Saccharomyces cerevisiae S288C: one gene and its partner. The protein of the gene in region 1 purifies or fractionates together with the protein of each later gene. This does not show direct contact. Each region holds a gene or a part of one and is shown on either strand. Other genes may lie near its edges. The genes, in order: CPR3 and MOD5.

The links.
Region 2: the proteins of CPR3 (region 1) and MOD5 purify together in Saccharomyces cerevisiae (affinity purification with mass spectrometry, with the first as the bait; one large-scale study listed by BioGRID). This does not show direct contact.

What each region holds. Positions count from the first base shown.
Region 1 is NC_001145.3:108,723-112,050, forward strand, and holds CPR3 (peptidylprolyl isomerase CPR3), read left to right. Parts: upstream 1-2,279; coding exon 2,280-2,828; downstream 2,829-3,328. Other genes in the region: DUS1 (tRNA dihydrouridine synthase), read left to right, coding at 84-1,355; CFF1 (Cff1p), read left to right, coding at 1,525-2,130; TRAPP subunit BET5, read left to right, coding at 3,143-3,328. UniProt on the Saccharomyces cerevisiae protein: PPIases accelerate the folding of proteins. It catalyzes the cis-trans isomerization of proline imidic peptide bonds in oligopeptides. This isozyme is required for growth on lactate at high temperature.
Region 2 is NC_001147.6:835,811-839,460, forward strand, and holds MOD5 (tRNA dimethylallyltransferase), read left to right. Parts: upstream 1-1,863; coding exon 1,864-3,150; downstream 3,151-3,650. Other genes in the region: TPO4 (Tpo4p), read right to left, coding at 1-621; RIM20 (Rim20p), read right to left, coding at 3,274-3,650. UniProt on the Saccharomyces cerevisiae protein: Catalyzes the transfer of a dimethylallyl group onto the adenine at position 37 in the anticodon loop on a specific subset of tRNAs both in the cytosol and the mitochondrion, leading to the formation of N6-(dimethylallyl)adenosine (i(6)A).

The DNA of each region.
Region 1 (3,328 bases):
TTTTAGCTCCCAAAGTGCTATCGTCTATACTATCCAAGTTTTTACAGGCTCGCAATAAGCTCAATAAACAATATCAACTGCATATGACTGAACCTGCCCTGAGTAGCGCTAATAACGCTCTGATGCAAAAACTAACAGGTCGACAACTTTTTGACAAGATCGGCCGTCCTACTAGGATCGTTGCACCAATGGTAGACCAATCCGAATTAGCATGGCGTATTCTATCGAGAAGATACGGTGCAACCTTGGCGTACACTCCCATGTTACATGCAAAATTATTTGCTACCTCGAAGAAATATAGAGAAGATAATTGGTCTTCCTTAGACGGCTCTAGCGTAGATAGGCCGTTGGTTGTACAGTTCTGCGCTAATGACCCAGAGTATCTATTGGCGGCAGCTAAACTGGTGGAAGATAAATGCGATGCGGTAGATTTGAATTTGGGCTGTCCTCAAGGCATAGCTAAGAAAGGTCACTATGGGTCATTTTTGATGGAAGAATGGGACCTTATACACAATTTAATCAACACCTTGCACAAAAATTTGAAAGTTCCAGTTACAGCAAAAATACGTATATTTGACGACTGTGAAAAGAGTTTGAATTACGCCAAGATGGTGCTGGATGCTGGAGCTCAATTTTTAACCGTCCATGGGAGAGTAAGAGAGCAAAAAGGACAAAAAACTGGTTTAGCTAACTGGGAAACAATCAAATACCTAAGAGATAATTTACCTAAAGAAACCGTGTTTTTTGCTAACGGGAATATCTTATATCCTGAAGATATTTCACGTTGTATGGAACATATCGGTGCTGACGCAGTGATGAGTGCTGAGGGGAACTTATACAATCCTGGTGTTTTCAATGTAGGCCAAACTAAGAACAAGGAGAAGATATTTCCACGCGTAGATAAGATTATCAGAGAGTATTTCCAGATTGTCAAAGAATGCCAGGAATCTAAAGCCTCCAAGACAGCAATGAAATCACATTTTTTTAAGATTTTAAGGCCTTTCTTGCCGCATCATACTGATATTAGGTCAACACTTGCTACTATGAATGCAAAAGCCACGTGGGAAGAATGGGAGGAACAAGTAGTGAAGCCTGTCGAAAAAGTAGTGCAAGAAATATTTGAACAGCCAGATATCGCTATTAAGGATGAAATTACTATCGGCGAAAAGCAATCATGGGGTGGTTCATATAGAACTGTTCCATACTGGAGATGTCAACCATATTTTAGGCCTGTTAACGGTATCACAGGTGATAAAAGAGTTATGCAAGGCCTCATAGATGAAAGCGTGAACAAGAAACGTAAAGCTGACGTGCCATTAGAATCTGCTGATAAAAAGAAGGACGTGAAAGCTTAAAACCTGATAAAATCCATGTATATTTCTTTGCCTTTTCTATTCTTTTCTCTAAGTATAGTTTTTATGTATGTATATTAATTCAAACAGAAAATGTTCAACTCCGTCTCCATAAGAAAACTTCTTTCAATTTGAACACTTGTATATTCAATCAGAATTCGCCATAGAGAGCATGTCAGCCAATGTACAAGAAGCTGCAAATGCAGCTATAGAGCCGGCCAGTTTCGTTAAAGTCCCAATGCCTGAGCCACCAAGTAGTTTGCAACAATTGATCAATGATTGGCAATTAATCAAGCATAGAGAAGGTGGGTATTTTAAGGAAACAGATAGGTCTCCCTACACCATGGAAGTAGAAAAACCAGTAAATGGAGGCTCAGGTAATACTGAAATGGTAACAAGAAATCAATCTACGTTGATCTATTATCTACTAACCCCCGACAGCCCAATTGGGAAATTTCATAAGAATATTAACAGGATCATACATATCTTACAAAGAGGCAAGGGTCAATACGTTCTAGTATATCCTGATGGTCAAGTGAAGTCATTTAAAGTTGGTTTTGACTATAAGAATGGAGAAGTCTCGCAATGGGTTGTCCCCGGAGGTGTGTTTAAGGCAAGTTTCCTTCTGCCAAACGAAGAATTTGACAACGGTTTCTTGATTAGTGAAGTAGTGGTACCAGGTTTTGACTTTGAGGACCATACCTTCTTGAAGGGTGAAGATGAACTGAAACATCTTGTGGGACCTGAAAAGGCAGCTGAGTTAGCTTTTTTAGCTTGAACTTTTGTACTTAGTTATTATCAAAATAACCAATAAGAATTATTTTAGTCCTTTCGCACCGCGATTATTAATAAACTCAATATTTTTTTCCTATTTAATTCCATAAAGAAACAAAAAAAAAAGCAAGCAACTACAAAGGTCTACTTACCATGTTTAAACGTTCCATCATTCAACAGTCCCGCTTATTCTCCAATTCTGCTTCTAGACTAGGTAAAAAAGTGTTCTTTGATCCTGCGGTCAATGGAACCAAAATCGGCAGAATAGAATTTGAATTATATGATAATGTGGTTCCTAAAACTGCTGAAAATTTCAGAGCCTTATGTACCGGCGAAAAGGGCTGGGGCTATAAAGGTGTCCCTTTCCACAGAATCATCCCAGACTTCATGATCCAAGGTGGTGACACTGATTTGACTAACGGTTTTGGGGGCAAATCCATTTACGGTTCCAAGTTCGCTGACGAAAATTTTGTCAAAAAGCATGACAAGGCAGGTTTGTTATCTATGGCAAATGCTGGACCAAACACTAACGGTTCTCAATTCTTCATTACCACTGTGCCTTGTCCATGGTTGGATGGAAAACACGTTGTCTTTGGTGAGGTAACCAAAGGTATGGACATTGTCAAAGCAATCGAATCATACGGTACTGCTTCTGGTAAACCAAGAGCTGAAATCGTTATCGAAGAAGCTGGTGAGTTATGAAGGCTTATATGAAGCTAAGGTCTCTCATATTTCTAGCATATAAGGTATGCGTTATCTCTATGTCTACGAATTATATCTGTTTATAGTGTTTTATTTTATATAGACTCGCTGGCTCATAAAAAATCAACCAACTTTTATTCTGGTTTGCCTCAGTCGAAATGTTGTCCTTTACTATTGACTAGTGTTGAAGAATTTCCGGATCTTATATTTTCGACAATTGAGTTCCAACATACATTACAGAAAAAATACAAAAAAAAAATACAGAACTATCGTAAGATAATCTGCTTTTGATATAAATCATAAATCAGTGGAGCATGGGGATATATTCATTTTGGATCTTTGATAGGCATTGTAACTGTATATTTGATAGAGAATGGACATTGGCGTCCAATAGCGCAAGTGGTACAATAAACTCCAAACAGAATGAAGAAGATGCAAAACTTCTGTATGGTATGATATTTTCGTTACGCTCCATTACACAAAAGCTCTCCAAAGGGTCT
Region 2 (3,650 bases), on another chromosome or scaffold:
ATCCAGGATGGTACCTGATCCAACGGATAAGGCGGGGGATGCAAAGACACCTGATAAAAACCTTAGGGGTAGAATTATTCTCATGTGGCCATTGGATAACCCAACACCCATGGTGAAAAGCATTGACACAGGTAGGGAAAATAAATAGACAGGCTTACGACCAAACACTTCACTTAATGGAGCGCCGATGACAGTCGATAAACCCAGAAGATAGAAAGTTAAACCAGCAAGCGCCAAAGTCTGACTAACGTGATATCTTTCTACCAATTCTGGTACGGAAGAAACATATAGGGAACTACCCATTGTGACGACCAAACAAAGAAAAGCTGAAGTCATAGTAGTATACCATTTCTTCAAAGAGGACCAATTATGCGGATTGTCTGGGTCATCGGGCCCGTCCCAATCGAGATCTCTTGGGTCAATTGGCTCGCCCCCTGTCATGTTATTGGAATCTGCATTCGGTTCTGATCTTTTTTCGTCCTCTGTTATTGACCCTGTCGAAGAAGAAGTCGAATCCAAGTTGCCGCTATTAGTTACATTTTTGTCCAAGGCTTTTGGTACCTGCTGTATGTTTGTTCGAGGATCTGAGTTAGATTCGGTTTTTGTCAAAGAAGAAGGCATTAGTAAAACTTAAAATATATGTATACGATGTCTATGCTTCTTTGTGTGTGTATGTGTGTGTATAAGATGGTATCTTTATTCTGTAATTTTCAGGAAAGTGATGACTAGAAAATCGATGTGTCAGGTACAACAAATTGACAACCTATAACTTTCCATACAGGCGAATATATATATACACATAAACACATTCAAGCCTCCGGTACCGTTTGCTCTGACAAGGACAATTAGCATGTAAGCACGAGTGCGGGTATGCAATCATTTCAGTGTTTCCTTCATTTGGCATAGTGTCGTAACACGGATTTAAGGTGAGCCGTCAGGGGCTTTTAAGCGGAGCCCCTGCAGCTTCATGAAGACGGAACCGCACGGGCCTATTACCTCGGGGATAGATCAATTATCCGAAGCGGGTCACAACCCGGAAATAATAACCACTATGCCCGACCGTACCGACGTGGCACTATTTTTGGGATCCGTGGAAGTCGGCCATTAGTGGTAATCGGCGAAAACAAGTTTATTGCAGCTAAAGCACGCCATACGGTTGATATAAACAGCAATTAGGCACTTTTTCTCTTATTATTCATATGCCTTATTGGCTTGTGGCTTGTGGCTTGTAGCCTATGCAAATGCATTTGCTGATAGCAGCATAAGAAAGTTGGGAAGAAACGCTAACTGTACTTTTTATATCCAGAGTTCATTAGTTGATCTTTTACCCCAATAATTTCTTCCACTTGCGGCCTGCTTCTTCGCATTTCTCCCATTCCGGGCCGCGACTCCGTAGTTCTTACAGAAACAGCCGCCTCCATAACCATCTATGATAGGAAAAAGATGGACAAACAGGAAAAGAGCTAGGGAGTATAACCTGATTCCTGACATGTATAGGATTCGGGTAATTTTGAAATACGAAGCTCTTTGCATTCCGAGACCGGTTTAGGAAGATTTATTTACATATCTACTTGCGCTATTGTGGTCATGCCTTCGAAAGATAAAGAGCGAATTTTGCTCGTATAAGCTAAAATCAGGTAAAAGTTCCTTATGTTGCTGCTCCTCGATGGCAACGTCGATCTAAGATCTTGATTACTGAATCAGGCGAAAGCACACGTTCATCTTTCGCTCATCGGAAAGAAAATTAAAACAGAAAAAAATTCTAAAATGGCAAAAAAGAAGAAAAGCTCAGTGAGGGCTGTATAGTTTATTAGATAAGCTACTATACGTACATATCTTTTGTAAATAGAACCAAAAATCTTCATGCTAAAGGGACCGCTTAAAGGTTGCTTAAATATGTCTAAAAAAGTTATAGTGATTGCTGGTACAACAGGAGTAGGAAAGTCTCAGTTGTCCATACAATTGGCACAAAAATTTAATGGCGAAGTTATCAATTCGGATTCTATGCAGGTATATAAAGATATTCCTATTATAACAAATAAACATCCGCTTCAAGAAAGAGAGGGCATTCCTCACCATGTAATGAATCACGTAGATTGGTCAGAAGAATACTATTCCCATCGTTTTGAAACTGAATGCATGAACGCTATTGAAGATATTCACCGGAGGGGTAAGATACCCATCGTTGTTGGGGGTACTCATTATTATTTGCAGACTCTTTTCAATAAGCGGGTCGATACGAAATCATCCGAACGTAAGCTCACAAGGAAGCAGCTCGATATTTTGGAATCGACTGACCCTGATGTGATTTATAACACACTTGTGAAGTGTGATCCTGATATAGCTACCAAATACCATCCTAATGACTACAGGAGGGTACAACGAATGTTGGAAATCTACTATAAGACGGGCAAAAAACCAAGCGAGACATTTAACGAACAAAAAATAACTTTGAAGTTTGATACCCTATTTTTATGGCTATACAGTAAGCCGGAGCCACTTTTCCAAAGGCTTGACGATCGTGTAGACGACATGCTAGAAAGAGGCGCCTTGCAAGAAATCAAGCAATTATATGAATATTACAGTCAAAATAAATTTACGCCGGAGCAATGCGAGAATGGTGTTTGGCAAGTTATTGGCTTCAAAGAATTCTTACCGTGGCTAACCGGGAAAACTGATGACAACACAGTAAAATTGGAGGATTGTATAGAAAGAATGAAAACGAGAACACGTCAATACGCAAAAAGGCAGGTAAAATGGATCAAGAAAATGCTGATACCTGACATCAAAGGCGATATATACTTACTGGATGCCACTGACCTTTCTCAATGGGACACGAATGCATCTCAAAGAGCGATAGCTATTTCCAATGACTTTATTAGCAATCGACCCATCAAGCAAGAAAGGGCACCTAAAGCCCTAGAGGAGCTGTTGTCTAAAGGCGAAACTACGATGAAGAAATTGGACGATTGGACACATTATACTTGCAACGTCTGTCGTAACGCAGATGGTAAGAACGTTGTAGCTATTGGCGAAAAATATTGGAAAATTCATTTGGGTAGCAGAAGACATAAATCCAACTTGAAAAGAAACACTCGTCAAGCTGATTTTGAAAAATGGAAAATAAACAAGAAGGAGACTGTGGAATGAAAATATTAGGAAAAAGGAGTTTATCCTGAGTGTATATATCTACATAAGTGAAGCTGGGTTTTGATAATGGAAAGGGAGGATGACAAGCTCAAAATATACTTTATAGATGAATGAGGACAGGTATCATTGGTCTTCAAATGTCAAACTCTTATCAAGCCTAGCTTTTTCTGCTCTTCTTGCTGTATCATATTCCTGTACCTCATTGTACAGATTGCTGGTAGAAGTAATTAAATTTTCGTAAAATGCTGTGCCGGCACTTAAATTTTCTTTCACCTCATCAAGCAGTTTGAAGGAATATCTCAGATCTTCAATATATAGCTCTCTGGGATCTATTCTTACCATTTTCTTTGGTTCAATCCCGCTTCTGCCGGGGTTATTCTTCTTACTTAGGTTTACTTCCTCAATAAGTTTGATATTTTCTTCCTTTGTACTATTAACGTATCTTAAATCTTCGTCAAAGTATTTTAAATGGCCTATGAAAATGGGTTCAAAGTCGACTG